Lepisosteus oculatus: one gene and its partner. Each later gene encodes a partner of the first gene's protein in a complex. Links are inferred from orthologs where the notes say so. Each region holds a gene or a part of one and is shown on either strand. Other genes may lie near its edges.

Evidence for each region.
Region 2: virma (region 1) and mettl14 share a complex: the UniProt entries of both Homo sapiens proteins name them as parts of the WMM complex. The link is inferred for Lepisosteus oculatus from reciprocal best matches to the Homo sapiens genes VIRMA and METTL14.

Annotation. Positions count from the first base shown.
Region 1 is NC_090705.1:7,599,891-7,612,641, forward strand, and holds the start of virma (protein virilizer homolog), read right to left. Parts: upstream 6,450-12,751; 5' UTR 6,435-6,449; coding exon 6,372-6,434; intron 1-6,371. Other genes in the region: esrp1 (epithelial splicing regulatory protein 1), read left to right, coding at 9,556-9,687, 10,047-10,175, 11,217-11,327, 12,558-12,672. UniProt on the Homo sapiens protein: Associated component of the WMM complex, a complex that mediates N6-methyladenosine (m6A) methylation of RNAs, a modification that plays a role in the efficiency of mRNA splicing and RNA processing.
Region 2 is NC_090696.1:11,926,885-11,940,019, reverse strand, and holds the start of mettl14 (N6-adenosine-methyltransferase non-catalytic subunit), read left to right. Parts: upstream 1-6,929; 5' UTR 6,930-7,053; coding exon 7,054-7,119; intron 7,120-9,245; coding exon 9,246-9,334; intron 9,335-10,081; coding exon 10,082-10,169; intron 10,170-10,646; coding exon 10,647-10,724; intron 10,725-10,980; coding exon 10,981-11,068; intron 11,069-12,462; coding exon 12,463-12,553; intron 12,554-13,135. Other genes in the region: prss12 (neurotrypsin), read right to left, coding at 1,547-1,877. UniProt on the Homo sapiens protein: The METTL3-METTL14 heterodimer forms a N6-methyltransferase complex that methylates adenosine residues at the N(6) position of some mRNAs and regulates the circadian clock, differentiation of embryonic stem cells and cortical neurogenesis.

The DNA of each region.
Region 1 (12,751 bases):
AAATTAATTAAAATCAAAGTATTATGATGCTAATCCCTTACCAAGAAGCATCAAATATATATATATATGTCACTTACTATATTTCCTTAGTTGAAAATGTTCAGGATGATAATTAAAAATTAGCTAATTGGATGTAAGCCTGGTCATAAAGCACTTGGGTGTAAGCCAACCTCTCTTCAAACCATTTACAGCTAAAACCGAAGTGATGCATCAGTCTATTCATATCAATGCTTGACCTATCAGTAGTCAATGATCACTGATAGTCTTCTACATAAAGGTTTTATCAAGATTTCTGTCTAAGCAACTGACGTGCTATCTTCCTTTTAAGTTAACAATTTGTACCGATAGAATATTATGTGAGAAGCCGTCAGTATAACCCGGTATAATTTAGTCAACATGTAATCGACTGTATTACATCGGTACTCTTCAAACTTATAGGATATAGATTAACTGAAGTCAAAGTTAAAACATGAGTCAAAACTCAAATCAGAAATTGTTGGAGGCCACTTTAAAGTAATACATAACCCCAGATATGGCCTGTCAGTGTAACCCTTTTCACACTGGTACACACTCATGTATACCACCTGTCAAAAGTCATCCAGTTGTTGCATGAAAAACAGGCAGTGGTGGGTCGTGCTTGTTCAATGGGGGTGTGGATTCTAACGTGGTTTTCTTGCCAAGAAACAAGCCTGTTTGTTGACTTAGCACAAGAACTTGAAAGGACGGACTAACCACAAGAATCTCCTACAAACCTGTTTTGTCCAGTTTACCTGTTCTAGGCTACAAAATAGCCTTGAATAACATATAAAAAGATCTGATTTACAGACAACTGCTTCTATTAGTTCAAAGTACACAAGACGTGGTGTGAGAGAAAGGTTTATGTCTGAGCAGACATGAGTACCAGCTATTGAGAAAGAAAAACAAATATATATTACATATGTATTTTATGGGTTGTTCTTCTGTCAAGCTAATTTATTACAATACAAAATCTTCTTTGCTTTTTAAATATCTGTAGAACTTTTACTTATGTTATTGCATTCATTAGATTTAGTAAATCTGCTCCTGTACTTTCCAACAAGCTGAATTCCTGGCATCAAAATAGATCTCCATCAAAGCTCGCAGTAAGTGACTGTCCTGTGTTTGAAACATCAAAGGCAGAAGAAACACATCTTTCCAGGGCATCAGGGATTCCAGGGTACTTCTCGCATTTTTCAACTGAATTCAGATTTTAAAATGAATCTGAAATAAGGAGCCCCAGCTCTCTGCTTCACTTCATTTCTATTGAACACTTTTCTTTGTATGGCCTGCATGGAGATGGACTGTTAGCAGATCTTATCAGATCACCTCTCTTGGAAGAAGATAATTTACCAACGACCTATTCATGCAAAAGTATCGAAGATAATGGTGGAATTTCTTAGGTAAAAGAGGAAGCAAGGGCACTGAATGAATATTTCCCCCACAAGTCAGAAACTGTGTTGAGTTAAAACACCCACATTCCAGCTAAATGGAACAGTTCTGTTCAGAGAGACGTGTCTGGGGCTCTGGACTCCACGCAGGAAGTTTGTAAGCTCAGATTCCAGATGAGTGGGAGAAGAGTACACTGCTGTTGAACCCTTCAGCCTGGTACTTCAGCTGAAGTACTCCAGTAAAATACCCAGCTGTATAAATAGGTGCAAATGTAAATTGCTTTGGATAAAGGTGTGAGACAAATAAATTAGTCTTATTTTCCCAAATCTAAATGCGAATGAGGGTCTACTTAAATAAAAAACAACTAACGTGACCAAACTTCTCCAGCTAATTTTTTTTGTTTAAACTAAATAAAAATACCATTTTAAATGTCTACAGAATGAAGACCGTAACAAAAACAAAGTAATAAAACGTTCGCAATTCACTAAAATAAAGTACAGCCGTTTAACATATAGTAAATGAATTGTAATAGGAGGCACACGGTTGAAAGTTAAATACCTGTATTAACGGTCAAATATTAACTCGGTTAATCAGGCATAACCGGTTCTAAATTGTTTCTTGGGTCTGCTCAGATTTCCCTTAAGCACTCAACCAGAAATAACTGCAATGGAGGCTCCATCAGTTCGGAGTGCTGACCTTCACTGAACAAAATCTAGAGAATAGCTCAAACAGCATATCACCATGCTGCAAATGCTTGAATCTGCCTGGTACGTTCATGGCTATTTATTGAAGCTGCATCTGATTTAAGAAGGAAAATAGCATTCTCTTAGCTGCGAAAACAGTTTTTTTTCCCAGATTTCCACAAAGTTATATATATATACACGTTTCTAAAACCAGGCAGTACAAGCTGGTTCTTTTCTATGCTGCTTTTTAGGAGAAATGTGATCATATGATGATAGTATGATAACACTGATTTAATTGCCTATACAGTATTCAAAAACATCACGGTCTTATCTAAGATTGAGACGAAAGGTGCACAGTTCTCGAAAGGAGCAGTTCTCTCAAATGTTTAATTAAAGCAGGAATTGAAGCACTGGATCCAAGATATTTTTGCATTTATTTCAAAACTGCAAAATCAAATCTAGAACCACTGACTCATGCAAACACATCCTGGTCCACAATTAACAGAAATTTAGATGCTCCTACTCTCCATTCAGAGTTTGAAAATAAGTTCAGACAGCTGTCCTCCAGTTAGCTGAAGCCCTGTGTTACATCATCTCCAGTCTCGTGCTCCCAGGAAGCACAGAAGGGATGAAGTTCCTGCGGTCCATTACACAATTCCATTTTAAGGTAAACTGATGGTATTCAATGACTGTAACAAATCTTTAAAATTTGTACATTCTTTATAGAGCATACCGGCCATTGGTTTCCCTAAAACTCAAAGATTCCAGATGGGCATGGCCTTGCCTGTAAAGACCTAGAGAACTTTTGAAATGAAAGCTGCTTATATATTGCATCTCCTTTTTCTGTGTAAAAAAACAAAACTTGGGAAACATGCCTCAGGCATATATGCTTACAGCTTTAAATCCATACATTAACATTAAATGAGAAAATTATTTCAACAGCTTAACTGCACAGACGGACATACTGAATCTTCGCATGACTAAAGATGAGTGAAGATAAACAGCTATAAAAATCAATTGAATTAAAACTAAGTGCTTGATTAAAAACTCTGCAGACTTACAACTGTGCAGAAACATTGCACTCCACACCCAGGTCTCATGCTCCATTGATATGGATCAATAATAGATCATAGTGATGTTCTTTGGCTGAGACAATTTTAGACTCAGAGCAAATAAAGACTCCCTGAAGCAAATCACTTCATTTAGGCACTAAGGTCCTACTTGACTTTTTTTAATCAATAAAATATATTAAAAAAACCTTATAAAAACTGTCTTTGTAATACATAGAATTTAATGAATGTTAAAAAATCAACAGTCATTCTTCCCAATGTTGCTCTTGAAGCACTAGCAGTCTAATCACAAAACTGCTGGATCACCTGTAAAACATCACTCCTTAATGCAAATCTTATTATATACAGTAATTGGAATGTATTTAGAACAAACAGAAATAAATACAGCTGGCATGATGCACACCCATCATCAGTAATTCCTATTGAAAGGATGGATGCACTAGCATTCTCCAGTCCAGTGAATGCATATTGACATGGCATTTTTCAGTCCTGCATTCCAGTCAAAACAGACTAGATGGGTCAAATGACCCCTACTCATTCATAACCCTTCCTGTGTCCTTGCCTTACAGACGCTCAAGTACTATCTGACAGGCAGACCACAGTCTGTGAGACTGCAGAACTGTGTGTCTGAACAGGTAGTAAGTAACACAGGAGCTCCTTAGGGGATGGTTCTTTTTCTGTTCCTCTTCACCCTCTATACTTCGGGCTTTAAATACAACTCAAAGTCATGCCACCTGCAGAAGTCCTCAGACGACTCTGTAATTGTGGGATGTATCAAGGGTGGACAGGAGGAAGAGTACAGAAGACTGGTCAGCAGCTCTGTGGAGTGGTGTGGGGAGAATGTAACAAAGACGAAGGAACTGGTGGTAGGTTTCAGGAGGAAAAGGGTCAAACCTACTCCTGTCTACATCCATGGGAGAGGCGTGGAGATAGTGGACTCATGCAAGTACCTGGGAGTGCACATCGACGATAGACTGGAATGGTCTAAGAACACGAGGCCATCTACAAGATGGGTCAGAGCTGACTTTACCTCTTGAGGAGGCTCAGGTCCTTCAATGTACAGTATGAAGTAAGATGCTACATATGTTCTATCAGTCGGTGGTAGCGAGCACCATTTTCTACGCGGTGGTATGCTGGGGCTCTGGGATTAGAGCAGGGGATTCTAACAGGCTGAACAAGCTCATCAGAAGAGCAAGCTCAGTCATTGGGTCTGGCCTGGACCCACTGGAGGTAGTGGCTGAGAGGAGAATGGTGTCCAAACTAGAGGCCATCATGGACAACGTCTCCCAACCCCTCTATGACAGGCTTGTAGAAATGAAGAGCACGTTCAGCAATAGGCTGATCCATCCACGGTGCAACAGGGAGCGCTACAGGAGGTCATTCTTGCCTTCTGCCATAAGACTGTACAACTCATCCACCTTGTGTCTGGGCAGAGGCAACATTGACAGTGACCTGTGTCTGGACTGAACAGTAAACTGATACATGTGTTCTTTTTCTTTTTCCCATTTATAACCGTTTTTGGGCAATATATGCCAGGGACCTGTGCAATACATTTATATTTATATTGTGCAATACGACTTTTTTGTGTAGTTCTGTTCTGGTCTGTGAGTAACTCTTCTTAGTGCACTTCTCACTGTACTGATTGTATTGTACGTATTGTATTATTATTATTGTATCATTCATTACACTGTTGCTGTGTTGTCTGTGTTAAGCTGCTGTTGCACTGCAATTTCCCTCACGGGATCAATAAAGTATCTATCTACTTACTTTATGGTCCCAGATGGGAAATTTGCTTTGCAGGAAGCTAAATGACATAACACAACATAAAAAAAATAACTTAGTTCTATTTCACTTGAACCTAGCTAGTCTTAATTCACATCTTAACGGGAAGAGCTCAAATTTTGCTGGCTACCTTCACAATCGTGTTCATATTGAATGTATTAAGGTTACCAAACCTGGGTTACCCACTGAATGTTAGGAGAGATTCAATACTCAAGGGTTTCAAACATGATCTTAAGAAGAGAAGTATCATCACAACTATTAAGGAGCTAGTACATTTATAATATTTATAATGTTGCTTAAAGCTTCATTTAAAAAAACAAACACCCTGGTTACTGTCACGGTGGTAATGGACTTATAATTTTGTAATAATTTGTTCATTTATTTCCATTGAAGGCCCTCAGGAAGCCCTGTAGTTATGCAGGACAGATGACAGGGCTGATTAAACGACATTTTCAGCTAGGATGGGACTTGCACCATTCTTATGAGTTAAAACCCATCTGCAAGTCGAAATGTAATGGATTGCTAAACTGAATACCCTGCTAAATTATTAATTTTTAAATAAGCATTACAATAAGTCCATAGTATTGTTACAGTACATAAACAATCGTGATTTTTTTTGCACAGCGTTGTTTATTGCTCTCCATCAGTATTTACCCATTTTTTGTTCATTTGGTTTTGGCCTCTCTTAATTCATAGATCTTTCCAATTCTCACAAATTCGTTGCAGGAAGTCAGTAAGGCTGATCGGCGGTGGAGACTATCTGATCAGGGGAAATAAACACATCGATTTGTTTGAATTTTGAGGAAACATGAGCCAATACCCGTCTCGAAGTGTCCGGGGCCTTCTGCCTAGAGTACGAAAGTCCCTGTGTTAGTTCCACTGACAGTGGGAAGCCGACGCGCTCGGTTCTTCAGAAATCTGACCTTAAATGATTCGTTTGAGACGCCATGATTTTATTTGCCGATTAAGGATTGTTATTTATTCATAAAGCCTGTGCAAAACAAACATTTGCATGCTAAAGCATTCCAAGCTCAGAGGAAGGTAAAGCTAAACCTATACCTTCCAGTTTTAATCTAGGTAGCATGCCATACGGAAATATAATAAAAAAGCACCCTATGTCAGTCAAGGCAGTATCATTTGCAACAATGGCTTCTAAAAAACTAACACAGTGTTGCAGTGACAAAAGTTATGTGCAAACTACTTTCCCGGCATGTCTATAGTGTCATATTGCAGAACAAAAGCAATCAAATATTTTGCATTTTTTTTTTTAACAACAAGGAACTCGATGCAAACACGGTCTTGCTGAAACTAGAGCTCAATGTGCTACTCATCGTTGTTTTAAAAACGATTATCACTAATGGACACGCAGCCTGAAGAGACACCCACATTTCAAGAGACAAACATCAATATCAACGATAAAAAATCTTACCTCTGCACTCTGATGTTTAAAAGTATCCAAAAAAAGAAGCTCCATTGAAGAGTCCGCAGCCATGTTTCCTGAATACAACAGGATATACTTCCGGGTAAAAGGAACAATAACATCCGGCTGTTAAAACTCGACGTCAATAGTGTATGTGCGATCGGTTATTTTTACAGTTCTGTGTGCTCACTCAGCTTTCTAAAGACTGTTTTCAATAACATTCTAATTTAGCAATTTTATCAGTTAATATGTTTTTCTGTCATGAATATATTGTTTTAATACAACACAGGTAATCAAATAAACTGCTGAAAAGTAAATAAAGGTCCAAATACAGCTGTTTTGACTGGAGAAATAACGTGACTTTCATTTAATTCTGATTTAGAATTCTAAAGGATATGAATAGGATGAGTTTCTCACAGGAGAACAAGAGCCAGTGATATTAATGTCTGTTTAACAGCAAATGCAAATCTAAAAATGTCAAATTCTGGTGTAGATTATGAAGAAGGAAAAGCAAGTTGTTCTTTATGGAGTGACTAGGACTGGTCCTAGAAAACTGCAATCCTTAGAAGTTAAACCTCTCATTTCTAAAGAACTGAATTTTTGTTTTTGACCACTTAGACGCGTGATTTGAAGTGAAAATACCAACACCCCCTGGATCTGAAGGATGACAGCTGGCCACTCTTTGTTTAAATTAACTAATTAACTAAATTGATCAAAACTCACATGTAGGCTTTGGTCTTTAGAAACTGATGATTTAAGAGTGACCTATAAGACCTGTTAGATCATGGTTCAGAAAGACAAGGTTGGCCTCCCTTAGTGTATGTAAATCCACTGTCAAAAAGCCACTTCTCTTTTTGGAGAGTCATAATTTACCAGAGCCTATCTCAGAAGCTGAATACAAGGCAGATAATGGAGAAAGAGACCATTAAGAAGAGCCAGTCAAATCCTGGTCGGTTTGTCAGTGGGCGGGTGGCCATGCCACACTTCTTCCAAGGAAGATTGTCCTGTCTCACAGTAGGATTTATGTACTGTACTTTGGTCATATGACAAAAGGCTTTAATTCTGACTTCAATCTTTAATCCTAAACCCGACACCTTACTCACATGGGTGTTTGATCCTATTTGTTTGCTGTACACTGCAGACCAAGCTGTTTTTTTTTAAATGGAAGTAAATTTATCTACAAAGTGGTACATGTGTTAATTTACATTGGTTTGGCTGATCAATTTTACAAGCATGTCTGATCAGCACCGTCATTTTCTGATTGTAGGTGCTCTAAAATTGTTTGCATAGTATTTTTAGTAAAGCAAATGACACTCTTTCACTTCTCTTTAGTAAATGTAATTTTTCACAAAATGTTGTCAGTTTTACTGTCTTCATTTAAAAGGGACACTACTTGCCTCCTGTTTAGTGCCTGTATTTTTCAGCAATAATGAACCACTGAAATAAATGCTTTACACTAAGGTCAAGCTCAGCTTGCAATATTTGCCTCACATTCAGTGGGAGTAAAATATTGTGATTTGCCTCAAACTATGGATGATTTAATTTTTTCTGATAAAATCAGGGATGCTGTGCATTAAGCAATACCATTAAAAAATAAGTAATAAATAAGTTCTAAATTCTAAATTTATATGATTTTTTTCAGCAATTAAACAATAACGTATTGCTTCAAGAGTTTGTCATTTATGTATAGTGTACTTATGTCTTTAATATATAATGTTTTCTGCATTTTTTCGTATTTCATGATACGGAGCTATTTGTGCATGGGGCTATAGTTTAGAAGAGGGTTTAAAATCGAGACGTTTCTTAGAAAACATATAAGAATGAAATGCATACGTCACATAACCTAAGTAAATTAACATTTATAGTAGTAGCAAGTAGTAGCTTTTATCATTAGGTCTGCAACATGTAGTAGACCGATGGCTGCTTCTGTCATGCAAGGACACACCCGGTAAACACAAAACGTTATTCAATTTCCATATCTCTGTCTTCAGATATATCTGCCTCGTAATCTCACTGCACGTGGACTAAAAGCTACACTTTTAATTTCTGGAATTTACTTTAAGAGAAATTCTCATTTGATATTCTTATAGACCGATACTGGATTAATAATTGTGACGCCTTGACGAGTACCCGGAGTTTGTAGTTGTTGTTTTTTTTATTTTTGTAATTGCGTATTTTACATATAACCCTCAAAGCATTCATACTGTATACACATATGCAGTACTTATATAACTAGATACATTGTCAGATTTAAACTGTAATTCCCTTTCAAAGGCATTTAAGGTCTAATCTTGTTTAGGTATAGTATATCATGTTTATTTGAAAGTAAATTAATTTGACATAAATACTGTTTATTAAATCATACGTTATTTGAATTTTACCAACTGCCTGCTGTTAATTTTGTAAGACCTTATTTCTTCAAAAACTATCCTTTGATTCTGAGCTTCTCTTCTTTAAAATCGTATTAATTAATATGAAATCCCCTAGCATGAAAGGAAAGAGTAACTTTTTTAGGATTGTTTCGTTAAAAAAAACAAGTACCGAGCTTAATAGGTCATTAAAAACTCATTTTAAAATTGTTATTCGGACAGAATGGGTTATAAGTTACGAGGTAAGAGTCATTAAATATCAAAGCAGTTAGATACCCGTACGAAATAATTTGTAATGATACACTGAAGTTAATTTATTTTATCATCATATATTACAATGCATTTTATTATTATAATTTTATAAAATAATAAAACATACACTATTATTTCTCTGTTCTTCTGTATACAAAACTTCTGTCGCTCCAAGTCCTGAGGCGAAAGATGCTTGTCTTTCTCTGTGCTAGCCACGTCCCTGTTTAAAAGCACCAATAGAATAGAGCCCAGCACAAGGCAGGTATCCATTACCTGAGTCACGTGGGTCTCAGACAGGTAAATGCACAAAAAATAGTGAACGTTCAGCCATTACGAGGCTATGAGGGGGGTGCTGCCTGTTTTACATAGGTTCTCACGCAATCGCCAAAGCCACTAAATACCTGAAGCCAGTCAAACACACCTAGCTCTGGACACATAAGGTGTCTGTAGGTGTAGGGTTGTTTCCTCTGGTTCGTTTTGGGGGTGTTGTTTTTCTTCTTCAGTAGGGTTTTCTTTCTTTTAGGTGCGTTTTGTTTACTTTTTTTCTTTTGTTATTTTTTCCTGTGAACAACATGACGGCAACTTTTGATTATTTGGTGATTTTCTTTACTACGACGTCTGGTGCCAATGGGGATAAACTGGGATCTGATGAAAAGGAGTTAATTCATTTGGTGTGGCAAACTGTGGATCTGGCGAACAAGAAGGTATCTAGGAGTTTGTCCTCTTTTGCCATCCTTTTTTTTTCAGATGGTGTGCTTTTTACTATCCAGGTGAACCCGAACGACTGTTTTCAAGGGCGTTCTGTGAAGACGGTGCCTGTAAAAAGTGATTTCTTAAATTCCACTCAACTTTAGACCAGGAATCTACTATATACATTCATTTTGCAGTTATATTGCCAGAGTGAAATGAAAACATAAAACGCGACGATGAAAGCCATTTTAGTGCCTAATTGTCCTGTTTGAGTAACGTGATTTTTGTCTAGGGGTGAAAACGCGATGATATAGTTTTGTACATCATAGTATATGATTATTAATGTATCCATTCATATTTTAAATTTCTTCAGACGGGAAAAATTCACGAAATTCTCGTTAAACCCGAAAATTTGGAACTGACCGATGAATGTAAAGAAGAGAGTGGAATTGGAGAGGAGTCGGTTTCCACTGCACAGCCCTTAGAGCACGCCTTGAACCAGGTGAGCAGTTCCCCGAATTTCAGGCCCCTCGAAATTCAATTAATTAATTGTTTATTGTTTTAAACTATTGTGGGTGTAGTGGGTGGCCTTGTCGGGTCTCTTTTTTTTTTTAATCGGGAAGCTATATCACTTTCTTGCAAACTTAATTTAGAAATTATGTAACCCCATTTGTGTTGTATTGCCGATAATTTGTTTTGGGAATTGGAATATTTTTGGAATTTAGTTAAGAAAATGCTTATGTGATAGTTTTCGGAAGAGATGTCGGTAATAGAGGAGCATTCCACCAGCAGTGTTAGTATCTGCTATTTTTTAAAGCTCATACAGTCATGTGAAGGACAGGATTATAATCTTAATGCAAATATTTGGATTTGAATAATGTGGGAATAGGCGGCCATTATGTGCTGTAGTATAAAGTGCTTTTTACTGCGAGTCTTTGTCCGAGTAAACATACATCGACTTCTGAATTTAACTCTTGTAGTGTCTGTCGAGTTTTTGACACAACGTGGAATTCTTAGCCTGAAACTGAGCTGATAATTAAACTCGGATGAAACGGTGTCATCTCACCTTGGCCTGCAGTCATTGACATGTTACTGACTGAATGCTTAGGTGGCATAAAGTAACAATAGCGAAAATACTTTTACTTCCAGTGTATTACATTCGTTAATAGTTTAATGAAAGAAGCAAACAGAGCCTTATTTCTAAAGCGGTATTGCATGTTCTGTGTTATTTTGGTTTTACAGAGGTCATCTCCGGCAGTGCTCTTCAATTTCCTTATAAACGTTTTTTACAGGCAATGTTAGAGTACTAAAGAAAATAGTTTGGGGTTCTTCGGATATAATTTACAGGATTAAGGAAACGTTAACCCTTGCAATTTTTCAGCAGTTCTTTTTTTATGAACTGTCTTATTAAGAGATATTGAAATATTTGACCATGGATTGACATTTTTATTGCTTTTCCTTGGGAAACTTATGCCTACCAGAGCACATACTGTATATTTACATGCCCACAGTTAATGGAACTGAATGTTCCTTTTCTGTTCAGGTTAATCAGCATCTGTGTAATGAAGTAAATATTGGCGTGAAGACATTCTGTTTATGCACTGATGGCCAACTTCACATCAGACAAGTCATCCACCCAGAAGCATCCAATAAGGTAAAGGTCTCTCCAGCACACAGAAATGCTGGGTTTGGGAACATTGTAATAAAGGTATTTTTTTATTAATCTGACCATTGCACATGAGTCTAGAAAGATGCCCAAAATTCTTAATAACCTTTTATTTCTAAAGGCATTCAATGTCTCCATCTCTAAAGCTGGAAACATGCTTCAGTTTTACAGTCAAATACTGAAATGGAAAGAATTTGCCGGAAATCCTCAGAGGTGGGTGGAATAATTTAGTCTGAAGTACCGGATATTTCAGATGTCTCCACAGGAAAAAAATCACTTGGAGATAGACCAGTTAAGGTCAGCCAAGCCAGTCCTTATTAACGGACGTTGGAGAGCCTGTCCTAAAGAACTCCAGGGAGTGTTCAGCTTTCAAGAACTGAAAAATTGCTTCTTAAGTTGAAATAAGGGGGAACATCAGACTTTGCAGATCCAGAGTGGAATTAAATCAGGATATAGGGGTCAAAACAGCTACTCTTTTGAATAAGAATCTTCAATGACCAATAACTGCAGCTCTTCCAACAGGTTGTCTGCCTAATATGAACCTCAATCTCTATGAAAGTTGCAATGGTGCAGTTAAGAAATTTCATAATTTACTCTTTTTTTACAATGTTTTTTTAAAAAACATTCTGTAGGATCTCCTCTTCCAGTCCCAGTCCTTCTGCAGCTCAAATAATATGATGTTGTGAAGTTCAGAGCTTGTAATGGACAGATTTAAAAATCACCTTGCATAATTATTCATCCATTTAAGTCAATAGGGTTAAAATTCGGTAAACTGGGTTATCTTTAAGATTCTGAAAGTTCATGTACACTGTGGTTCAGAATGTAGCCTTTCAAATTCACCTGTCAACCTGTTAACTTGGCTCAAACTTCTTAAAGTGTATTTAAGCTACTCTTGAAGGGCATGTTTTATTAAGATAATAGTTAGCAACACAAGACAAGCTTTGCAGTTCTAATTGTAAAATGAGCCATCCAAACATATCTAAAACAAAACGTTCATTACCCTTTAGAAAAATGAATATCCTTAATACACTGATGTATAGAATCTATAAATGTAATGCGACTATTGATAGATTTTTAAAAAATAAATTGCAGATGCGAATATAACTTTTGTTTTGGTGCAAATAGCCATGAGTAAAACCTGTACATGTACCCAGTGAATGTATTTAAGTTTAATTTGTACTTTTAACTAAAATAATGTAAAAAATCTCTTTTATACAGAATATTTTGCTGCCTGAATATTTCTATTCCTTTTTTGACCTTCGGAAAGAATTCAAGAAAAAATTCCCCACCTCGCCGGATCTGAAGGATTTAAACATTCAAGTTATGGCTGACTGTATCCTTCCTTGCATCTGAACCTGAAATTCCAGGTGCAAAATGTTTGAAATGAAAATTAAACAATAGACATCTAATTT
Region 2 (13,135 bases), on another chromosome or scaffold:
GTAATGCTCAACTAATGTTAAGATGTCAGTAAGAAATGAGAATATCTGTTAATACAATTAAATGAAATGCCTGCTATCAAAGTATTCACTTAATTGCTATTATTTTTGCAAGGCAATTTAAGTAGCTGCATTAATTAATCAAATATCATAAACATAATGGACTGAAGTTGTAGAGAAAATATACTGTTCATTCCTGTCATAATAAGTTAACTGAAGTTGTGAAAAAGTAAAAACTAAATTTTAATACACCTGCTTCAAACCTACATATAAAAGAGATGTCTTAAGTCAAATTTAAAATATAAAAATATTTCAACTTTATCTGAATTGTTGTTTTTCTGAAATAATTATTTAAAAATAAGGCTTCCAAGCATCTAGAGGAAAATATTGTTTTCAGTAATTAAAAAAATTTTCAATGACAGCTGGGAGAAACAGGACAGTAAACCCTGAAATATTGTTTTCTTTATTAATGCCCTTTTCATTGAGTATTTTGTTCATCTGAAACAGATCTTAAATTGTACTTCCCACATATTTTATCAAATAAATATAACATTTTGGTATGCTGAAACATATTTTTTCTGTTTAGAACTGTGAAACTTAAACAACCAGCAGCATTTTCAACAGTTGCATACCTTGGACTTCACTCAGGATTGTAATAAAGGAGTTGACTATGTGCTTGGACTTGCTTTTCTTGTCCTTTGCACCTGACAGAGTCTGGGAAATAACAGAAGTGTATATCTGAGGCCATTTATTAAAGGACTCTGTTGTCATTTATAAAGAAGCAGCTGTTGCAAGAAGATCTGAGCCACTTGCCTAAGAAAAATAATTGTTTTTCTTATAAATTATTTTAAAAATCAGATAATAAGATCATAGTGTACAGTTACTATTTCATTTTTTAAAAGAGTTACTTACATGTTTTTAGTAATTTGAGTGAAGGCTTGATTTTGCTTGTTTGGGGTATTCAGTCTATTGCATTCACTAGTAACCTCATTACGTGTCTTTAAAAAGGTGATGAGTATAGTGAAATACAAAATGTCAGTGCTTCATTCTTGTGATTGAATATCTGAATTTTTTACCTCCTCGCAAAGAACACAGAATTGGTATTTAAATATTTCTTGTTAAATCAACATATGTATTCATATGAATAATTATATAATATTATATAATAAACAAATAATATGATCATTTCCGTGTGGGGTTGTTGTACATGTTACGTGTTTAAAACAGCTAAAGTATCACTGCTTTTTAAAAAATAAATCAGTACAACTTTGCAAATATAAATGTTGTTCCATGCACCAGATGCCGGAGTGTTAGCATAAAAAAATTTGGTAAAAACAGAAAAAAAACAACAATAATAGTATCTGAAGATACTCTTTACCTCATGTCTGTAGCAAGCTTTTTTAAAACTATAAAAATAAACTAAAAGCTCTGCTCAACAGATAAACTATTACTGCTACTCCAGGTACAATTAAACACCAAAGGAAATTTCAGCTGAGGTTTGCTTCAAGACATACTATTGTACTAAAACTGTTTGAAGTATTGTATTTACCTTGTTTGCAGTCGCAGTAACCCCAGTCTATTCTTCCTCTATTGTTCCTGAAAAAACACCAAGGTCTGATCCTGCCATCGGGGTTCCTGCAGAAATTGTGGCGACCCAGTCCTTTTCTAGGGTATCTCTCCTCGAAACCGGTGATATCGCTCCAGTTCATACACTTAACACCAGACTCTGTTACATCTATCGATCCGTCGTAGTAACCTGCTCTGCCTTTGCTCTGAATGCAGTCGGTAAAGGGTAGAATGAATGAGACATCAGAGCCAAAACAGCATACTCTGGTGAAAAAAACTGAAGCAATCACTGCAAGAAACCTTGACCAGCTCATGGTGCTTTTAAGGCTGTGTTCATCACTCCACTGCAATCAATTAAAGCCCTTGGATCTGTGAGCAGCACGATCTCATAAACCTGTCCATCGGATCATTACATGTCCTGTATCCAAATCCGCGAAGGAACAAAATACCGGGAGATAACTCAAGTAGATCAATTCAGATGTGCCAGAGACAACCCGTAGCGATACGCCTCCCGCATATTGATCATTCCTGACGAGAACTAAGTTTTTTTTTTTTCACTTTGAGAAAGGAGCTTTCTTCGCACTTTTTCAAAATGAATAAAAATAAGATGACATGCGGGACACGAAACAGGAGAACAAAAAGAAGACAAGTATGTTTACGTGCTTAAAAACAATTCGCAACATTGCTGAATCGTCTGGGTAAATGTTTTCTTATAAAGTTTAACTTATTAAATATATTTAATAAACTTCCTTTAAAATAAAATTAATTTGCGTTATACATTCCTCCAAAATATGTACAGTTCCGGTTACGTTTTCATTTGAGTAAAATATTTAAAGAAAAATCCCTGTAAGTAAAACACTGACGCACATTTCAGCTTCAGCAGTTGTGCCAGCTGCATTATCTACAGCATCTGCATGCAACCCATGTTAAGTCTTGAACCGTGATCAATCCATTTACCAAATTATAGTTTTATTGCTTGTCAGCTTGTCCCCATGTCCTTGTCATGTACGTCCATTTAACGACGGAAAAATCAATTTTCCCAGATCTGTATGTCTGATTTTCTCTTTAGCAAAAATAATAGGTCCAAATCAGTCCACTGAAAAACTTCTCCGCTGACTGCTCCTGACTTGCACTGCCAACAATTCATTTTCTTCCTCCAGCCACTGCCACAAAATCGCTGAGTAGCGCCCCCGACTCCAACTAGCTGTAAATTCACATCTCAAGAACACATCCTTACAATTGTGATATTTGCTTTGCCTTCCTTTGTTTGGTAGAGTATACAGACGTGTTCTGTTCTAACAAGCAACCCAAACTTTACAGAATGTGGGTATTTTAATAACTCCTTTGTATGAATCGACCTCAAAAGAGCAGGCTATTTGTCTAAAACGTGGTTATTTAGACTACATTTTTATATACTGTACAATATATCTTACCACGTTAGAATAAAATATAATGTCTTTTAAATTCACTGGACAGACCTGAATGAAATATCTTGCTTGATGATACAAAAAACTGAGGCTCAGTCAGAATTTTACACTCCAGTCTATAATTCAGAGCCCTAACCTCTACCAAACGCTAATACAGAGCACATAATTTTAGGAAGTACTTTAAAAATACATTTTTTTAAGCCAGAGGCTTCAAGTACTTTAGTTTATGCCAATAGATTCTAAAACATACACAATGCTAAGCAATTTCTATTTGTTTTTTTTTAATTAACCTATTTAATGTATATATCTGCAAAATTAATTTCAAAAGCCTAGGAAAGCATATTATTATATAATATTAAAGAATCATACAGTTGTAATTTATTGCAGTACTTCTACTAATAGTAATCATTTCATTTTCTAACAGTTTACTCCTGTTGAAGATCATGGTGTTGACAGGTGGAGCAGGGCAGACCAGACTTCCCTTTCCCCAGCAACAGTCTCCAACTCCTCCCAGAGGATTCCCATGTGCTCCCAGGCCAGCCGACAGATATAAACCCACCAGTGTGACTTAGGTCTGCCCTAGGGTATCTTCCCAGTGGGCCGTGCCTGGTACACCTCCAGCAGGAGGTGCCCAGGGGAATCCTCACCACATGCCAGCAGCCATATCACTCTGCAACTCACTGGCAACCCACTGAAGCTAAGCAGGTGTGAACCTGGCCAGTGCCTGGATGGGAGACCTCCTGGGATAAACTAAGGTTCCACCCCATCACCCAGAGAGAGCAAGTGACTTGTTGATTGGGATGCTGTTTCTCCCAGTCATGCCGCTCCAGGTTTTTCCATCATTCCCCAGATGAATGTTGAAATCTCCCAGCAGGACAATGGAGTCAGAAAGTGGTGCCCACGGTACATAAGCACGGCAGTCAGAGTTTTCCTCTCTGCAATATGCAGTACAGTATTTGTTCTCATCCATCATGACAAATTCCAACTGCACGGCACCCAGCCAGGGACTTGTGAGTATCTCCACACCCACTCAGACTGTCACGGGAGCTGAATCTAACTCCCGAGGAGTGTGTTGTAAAAGACCCTATGCGTGACGGTATATTCCGGAAGTGTCTGGAGGCGTCAGGGAAGGCACAGCGAGGTAAGGTCAGGATGACAGACAGGGGGCCGTGACTGAGGTGATCTGGCGCATGGGGGGAGCGCAGGCAAACAAGTCCAAAGGAAGTCTAAAGGGGTAGTAAGGCGCAGTCCAAAATCCAGAAACCAGGAGATCCATCGGAGACCCAGATGATTAAAAACAGGAACAGGGAATTGGGACCAGGAACACAAAAGGTTAAAAGCATAATGGGGCATGGGACTCAGAGGAAAGGACGGCATGATGAAGCCTTTGCCCTCGGGCCACTCCTGAGCCCAGTGGTAGGTGGGCTTCCAGGTGTCAGTCTTTCAAAGCTGAGCCTGGAACTACAGAAACACTGGGCTTAAAGAAGGGAGAGGCAATGAAACACAGCTAACACTAATAAAACTAAGAACATTACAAGAATGGTAGGAGCGCCCTCTAGAGGAGGGATGATGACCGTGACACAGACCAGACATGCGAGGGACAAAGACCACCCCTGATTGAGAATTGTGGTTCCAGAACCAATACTGTATATAGAGGTAAGACCGACTATATCTAGTCTGTACTTTTCAACCTCCCATACCAGCTATGGCTCCTTCCCCAGTGAAGTGATGTTCCACAACCCAAGAGCCAGTTTCCAGTGCCAAGGTCTAGTCCATCATCCAGATCTTTCCCACTCCATCTCATTACCCGACCCCCATCCTTCACTTTGGGAGTGGCAATCCCACATGGCAGCTCCATGTAACCATTTTGAGTTGAGCCTGGCTGAGTTGTGTGGGTGATCCAGACACCAGGTGTTTGCCGGCAACATCACCTGGCCTGGCTCCAAGGGTGAGTCCTGGCGTCCATGGTCTGTGCAGGGTTTTCTCAGTTCGTAATGGAAAAACATCCCAGTCTAGCGTGCAAGGTTCTTTGTCTGGCCTCTCATCTAAGACCAAGTTGCCAAGGGTAGCCCTACCAGAAGCACAATCCACCTGACAACATACAGTACAGTAGTTCAGTAGCAGGGAGTAAACTCCCTGTGGCATTCAAACTCCTCCACCACAGCAAGGTCATGATTGCAGGAGATGAAGAAAGGTATGACATATATAGTAAGTGGAGAAAAATTGCTCTTTACACACCTCACTGTTTCAGTTTCAGTGTAAGAAATTCCAATCCTGTTCTAAAACATTTTATACTGTTTTATCCTGTAGGAAGTACATTAGGACATACTTCTATGTATGTTAGGACATGTTTCTAGTGTCATTTAAAGAACACACTTTAAGAAGAGCATAGATTTCTTTGTTGTTATGAAAACGTTCAAACAAAATATACAGATGCAGATCACTTGTCATACCTGTACTGAAATAAAATTTATTATAGTTGATAAGAACGGTTAAAATAAAAATGTTATGATTTTTATGTGGTTGATTAAGTCAGAAAAAAATAAGCATTACAATTGAATAAAGTTCTAAAAATTGTATTTCTATGTAGCGATTACACCTTCACCCAAAATCATGTGATTTACTCCTAAGAAGGCACATAAACTATTAAATAAAGGTGGTTTATTGTTAATAAACATTTTCAAGACTATTGTTATTTATGCAATCAAGACCTTGAATACTTTATTCCTATAACATGTTAATAATAACATGACCTTCTGCTTGTCATTAGTAATCATTATAACATTATAGGCATTCATAAGGCAGATTTACACTATTACTACAATCATTTTTAAAATAAAGTGCCCTGACAGTATTGTTTTTGCTGTAACACATTTTGAAAATGCACAATATTATCAATGTTTACGTCAGTCTTATTTGTCAGTCTTGTTAAAATGAGTAATAATTGTAACAATACTCATAATCACAAACCACAAATTATAAACCACGTTTGTTACATGACAAAAGCTTCCATTTCATGATTTAAGCTTTCTATACCGCCTATTCAGCTCTTAAGCAAATGTACTGTATGCCATCTTTGCTGAAGTATTCAGCAGACATCCATAATACTGTTTAAAGTTCAAACAGTGACCAAATTATTTTAGATTATGTGCATCGTGTGCTATGAATTCTACTTCTTGTTGCTGCCGACAGCTGTGTTGCCATTAACAGTTGCCCCGGGTTCATTTAAGCTTAACGTTGTTAAGCTAAAGGTTGGTTTTGTATTTATTACCTTTTTGTTTTGTACTTTTTTACTTTGCTGTGTTTAACAAAGATAAATTGTGTTAACCACACAATTATCAGAATATGTGATTTTCCTTTGTATATCAACTTTGTTAAATTTCTAATCCTCCTAGACTTTGGATTTTTGCGAACCACCCTCCTCTGCAGGGCTGAATAAAGAACTGTTTCTCCAGAACCCCGAATCGTCAGTGAAGTTCTTCCATGTTCATAAATCATACTTTTGTAATTTCTTCTTCCGTTTTGCATCTGTTGTATATTGCTGCATACAGCTGAAGACGTACGGCAATCTACTGTCTACATGCCAGTTTGCGCTGCAATGAGATTTAAACTCTTGTACACGCAACAGAACAATATACACTGATAAAAGGGGGATAAAAAAAGTAATATTGAAATGAAAGAACCACTATTATTTTTTCGACGACGTACCCTTACATGGATAATTTGTAAGTGCATTATGTTTTGACCAAAACCTATGAATGTTATACAAATACCTACAATCTCCTATATTGTTAAAATCTATTAGTTTTTTAAAAAGTTTTTAGTTCTTTTTTTTAAATAACTGGCCAATATTTGCATCTCTATCCTTTTTGAGTGGTAAGTGAAATGACCGAATAGCCAAGAAACATCATTTTAAATCACCGTTTTCTGTTACCCGGAAATGACGCAAAATATCCGCGACTCGTGCTGCTTCTGAAAGAAACGCAGGAGGGAAGAATTGGAATTGGAACTAAATGAGGATTCAGGCATTCTTTGAGAACTTTTGCTTCGGTATCGATAAAAAATGAACAGCCGTTTACAAGAAATAAGGGAAAGACAGAAGCTTAGAAGACAGCTTTTAGCACAGCAGGTAAGGAAGAACATTTGCTGTTTGTTCACGTTACGAAAACAAAAGATAGCATAGCTCCCACTCAAATTGTGTTCCAGAATTATGTGATTTGGATTATTTTTGTAGGGGATTAGTTAACAATTTTTATTTGTCAGTAGTTTAAGATCGTAATAAGGTGTTAACCGTAGAGAAGTTAGATTCACAAGAGAGCGAGTTGAGATAAATTACATCAAATTCAATATTGCTAAAAAACACAAATTCGCGGGTGTATACAGATCTCTAAAGCATTACGGCATTGCCCTTGGGAGTTGGATAAATATTTACCGTTCCAGTTCTGTTTTAATGATGAATTATATAATGAATAAATAGATAATGAATAAAATCGATACAAGCTTGTGGGGGCATAATTGCACCTAATTCCAATGTAAATTGACGTTAATAAATGCTGAAATTTTTTGAGTGGAGATTACATGTTATCATATTTTTGCTTGCTTTATTTATCTTGTTTATAAAATTAAACATTTTAAATGGTTTAACTAATGAACAGTAAAAACGTACTGTAGTTTTACGTCATTTAACTTAAATGATTTGTTGATCACGTGAGAAGTGCTGTTCTTTTTTGCAACAAAAAACTTTTAAAAAATCACGTGGTGGCTTAAAAGTATCGGGTGCTCCGAGTTTGATATTGGAGTCGAGTTAAAATTGCAAACAAAAATTGATTACGAATCTGCGCCAACCGCCGTTCAAAAATACAAATATAATTAATGTCAGAATATGAAATATCTGACCATGGCCTGCTTGAGAAATGAAGACAGCATGTTTGCTATTGGTGTGATTGGAGGTGACCTATCAGTAAAAGAAGTTGCCTGGAGAATGAGATGTTCTATTTCAACAATCGGCTCACTAGTCCAGAGAAAAGGGGAACCAAAATGCAGGCCTGGGGGGTGGATTTTCACTATGTCGGCCAGGACAGTCACATCAATCTGATCTATCTCCATAATTGTTAATAAACTGTATTGAGAAGCAGCAACGGACATTCCAGGAAGATATCACAGTAGAATAACTAGCTCACAAATTGCATGAAAATGATCCCCATACTCCATTCAAGTCACTGAGAGTAACAGCGATGGCTGAGACACAGAATTGCTGTCTTCTGTGGGCCGGAGCACATTTGTGGAGGCAACCGAGAGAGTGATGGACAGTTTTAATCGTGGATGAAACCATTTTTCCCCTTCAGAGACCTGCCAGAAGACATGCGAGAGGATGTCATTGCTAACATTGCATTTTTCAATCTGGGGGGTAGTAGAAGTGAAATTTCCTTCAATGAAAAAATGTCTTGGATGCAGATTAATGCAGACCAATATATTAACAAGGTCCTTGATACGACAGGTTTTCTGTAAATAAGAGCCAATCCAGGTGTCAAGTTTACCATCAGTACAATGAAAGACTATCCAGGGCTAGGATTACTGTGGCAAGACTTCAAGAAAACAATGTCCAAGATCTTGCCAAGGACAGCTTCTTCTCCTGACCTTTGTGTAATTGAACATGTGTGGGGGCAAATTGCTAATGCCATGGACAGGAGACAAACACAAACCCTCCAGCATTTCCTAGCTGGCGGTTGGTGCATAGAAAAGGGAAGAACACCATACATCACTGTATCCCAAAACTGGTCAAGTATTGTCAGGATTGTGGTAATGTTAATGGAGCTCATGCCCAATACAATTTAATTCATAACGTTCTTATTTTAAAAGTACATTACATATAGTGAAATCATGATTTTGTTCATGTCGTCTGATTTAACGTAATATTTGTCTAAAAAAAGATTAAATATAAAAAAAGTTGCCATTGTCACTCACATTCACCACCAGCTATGCAACAATGCACAAGATGTAAGATTTTTTCTAATGGAAAATCACTGAGTTGAAAACACTTTACTTGTGTGAGGGGAGTTTTTTCCTTTGCATCTCAACAACTTGTGGCAACTTGTAACGGGGGGCCTATATTTGTTATCCTAGAGCACTTTTTTTTTCATAATTGGAATTTTGGAAGATTGAAAGATTCCATGATATCAATTTGCTGAATCCAAAAGAACACAGTCGAACAAATTCTGCTAAGGTAATATACTGTATTTATACCGTTCTTCACAGCTAGGAGCTGAGAGTGCAGATAGCATTGGTGCAGTGTTGAACAGTAAGGAGGAACAGAAAGAAATTGAAGAAACCAGAGAGACATGCAGGTAAGAAAGAAACACTTTCATGGTTGTGTACAAAAATTGCTACAAATATTTGCCAGGCTAGAAATATGTTTGACAAAAACATATTTGGTTACATTTGGATAAATAGTTTAATAAGCACCCAAAGGTACTTTGTTAGGTTTATTATTGTACCGTTATTTGGGAACATAACATCTAACATGATTGTCCAAAAACTATACTATTTTGTTTATTGAACATGTTCTTAATATTGGCAGGAGCATATGATGATCCAATTCGGTATCGTCCTACATAATTATTATTCTATCTTTTTGTTCTTAAATATTAGAATAAGCCTCACAAGTTTGGATTTTTGTATTTCCTAATGTTTTAATCAATAGTATATTTATTGATAGCCGAGCATTTCTTTAGTCTGACATTTAACCCGTTTAATTGAAAAACATTCTTTCTTCCTCCATGATGTCAGATTATCGAATTTAACATCTACTGATTCACACGGATGCTGAGTTTTATTCAAGTTGTTTTATTTAACTTTGTTGTTGTAAACTGAACTCTGACTCTCATATATATATACTCTATATATGTCTTTATTTCTGTATGCAGTGACCTGTTCCTTTTCCTGATTCTTTGATATTCTGAATGTTAAGACAGTCTTTCTGCCAAGACTAGCGTAATCATTGTTTCAATGCCTTCCTTTACTGTCCCTGAGTCTAGTTTACAAAGATCTAGGACTCTAGAATATTTTCTCTGATGAATTTTTCTCCTGCCAAGGGCTTCTTATGACACTTCTTCACCTTCTACTAAACGCAAGTGTCAGAATGAGGGAGAAGACCCTGAGGAGGCTGTTGAAGAGCAAAAGGTAACATTGACAGTCTTTTTCTTTTGGTTATGTATTTTAAAGATAGACAAGAGACAGAAAGTGACTAATCTGGAAAACACCTTCATGGTTTACTGGGGTTGTTTTGTTAAAATCTGAATTTTGTTAAAATCGCTTTAGCTAGAATGTGTTTGCCATGTTTTGCTTTTTGGTTGCATGTCAAGTGCTTTTGGGTGTTTGTATTTTAACTGGACTTTGCTTTTTTTTCTTCTGAGAAAATGTTGGTCGTTTGCAAAAATATCATACAAAATTTACTTTTGGATAAGAAATAATAAGGAAAACAATATGTGCTGCGTTACATCTTTCTAGCCACCTGCGCAGTTTGAATATGACAGATCCCTGGATACCAAAACAACTCCTCAATACTAAATCACAATCCTTAAATTTGTGTTTTGTTCTTCCATTAATTTGATGTTCCATTCTTTACCTTTATTTGAAGTTTCTTTTATTATTTGCAAGGATGAAGTAGAGCAACAGCAGCCTGATGAAAATGTGCCATATGAAGAAGTGTACAAGGATTCTAGTACATTTTTAAAGGTGGGCTCCTCAGATTAGTTTCAAGGACAATATGTCTTCGTACAAAGAGGGTTTTGTGTTATCACTTTACAAGTAGTACAATTAAAACATCTAGATTCTGTTAAATATATTTTAGATCTGTTATTTATATCTTACATTGCTTGTAAATTGCTGTGCGTTTCACTGCTATATACAGTGCTAATAAGCATAATGTATTAGTCACTTGAAAAAATGATAGTATCTCCGATGACACTAAGTTGACCAATTTTTGTTTCAGGGAACTCAAAGCCTGAATCCTCATAATGACTACTGCCAACATTTTGTGGATACTGGTCATAGACCACAAAATTTCATTCGCGATGTAGGTATGTAATATGTAAAATATCTGAAGTTAAAGCGTATATAATTTTTTTTCTCTTCATAGCTTTTTAATTTTTCTTTTTCATATTTCTATTTTAAAACGAGTTGGTTACACTTACTGATAATGTTGATGTTTGGTTTGTGCAGTGCTGCCAATAAAATGTAAATTATACCTATGGATTACTGTTCTTTTTACCTTACCCTCAAAATGTATTCATATCAAGTTGATCAAGCAAAGATGTGCATTAGGATTTTTTTAACATTTCAGAATAAAAACATGGTAAATTTATGATTGTCATTACACAAATTCACCACAAAATAATGTTAGATATATCTAAATAAACACCGTGTCAAAGATGAAAATATAATGCTTTAAACTTTAAACATCTTAGGTATCAAAGGAAATTGAACACAGAAGTAAACATTCTGTATCATTTCAACATGTGAAAATGAGATCATTGTCTCAAGATCTAAGTTAAAAGATCAGTGACCTAATCAATTCCATAAGACATCTTGGTTTCAACTGTGCTCTCCAGATCCAAGATGTTGAAGTGGGTGGTTGTCACTTTACCAGGAACAGGATATAAGAAAATTTTACCCCAGTGTGCAGATGACATCTTGCATCTGGAGCGTGTGGTAGCGTTCTTTGGCGACATAAAAAGACACACATTTGCTAAACAAAATAATTGACTCCACAGCTGAAGGGAACCACATGATGTGGTTGTGTGAAATGTAAATTACATTTTTGGACTGTCTCATCTGGAGTATTATTAGCATGGAAGAATGAAGCTCGTGTTGAATGTTATCTCTTCAAGTAAAAGTGGAAATGGCTTTGTTCTGCATTAAGAGTTATTTGGCACCGTCCTCGTGTTCCCGTTAGGATGGCAGAACAGGTGGATTTCAAAGCTTACCAGGATATTTTTACAAAAAACTGGTGCTTTCTGTTGTTCAAGCTTAAGCATGGTTACAAGTGGATTTTACATTAAGGCAGTACAAAGCATACATCATACAACATGACGAAAATGTTAAGAGCTTGAGAGGTCCTGCATGGAGGAGTGGCCAAATATCCTTCAGGAGTAATTTAAAAACCTTATAATTAAAATGCTACTGGCAACACTTCCTCTTGGTTAAAGGCTTAAGGACTGCAAAATACCGATTGCTCTAATAGGAATACATTTGATTCATTCGGCAATATATACAGCTGTTTTTGACTGATGTATTTATACATATGATAATGAAAGTCATGACTTTAGTTTTGGTCTTGGGGTTTGTTTCTATCGGAGTGTATATTTTGGTTTTCATGACAAATCACCTTATAATTACAGGTGAGGATTTAAATACATTTGGAGGCTATTGTATATGAAATTGATTCGGATTTACATTTGTCCTGTTGTTTCAGGTCTTGCTGATAGATTTGAAGAGTATCCTAAACTCAGGGAATTGATAAGATTGAAAGATGAATTGATTGCGACAACAAATACCCCTCCCATGTAAGTTTAATACACAAATTCAAGTGCTGATATATAAAAGAATGTTTTAGTAAATTGATAGAGATTAAAATATTTATCTTTTTTATACACGTTTAGGCGCAGCTCCTGAAATGCTTAAGCAAAATGTACTAATTTATGATAGTCATGAGTGAATGCATATCGAGCATTTAATATTAGAAAGTATTTAAATCAGTGGTTCTCATTTCTGGTATACACTATTGTCTTGTTTCGTTTTGTTTCAGTTAATTGAGGTAATCCAAGTCTAATTTATTTCCATCTTTGTTAAGTCTTTTTTTTTAATTTGTGTTCAGCTCTTGAAAAGCTGAATGAGATTTGTAATTGGTATGAATCCTGTGTTAATTAGTGAGTGTTAGTACTGCCCTCATTCAGGTGTGCCAGCTTAAATATAACCTTAAGCAGAGAGAAAAGCATTGAATAACTAGGAGCTGTCTAATACAGTTTAATTTCCTCCTGTGTCTGTTCATCATCAATTAATCACCCATCAAGAGGTGCTCAGAAACAAGGGGGCATATTTATTAGCAAGCTGAGGAGAGACTGCATAAAGTTAAATGTGCTCGAGTT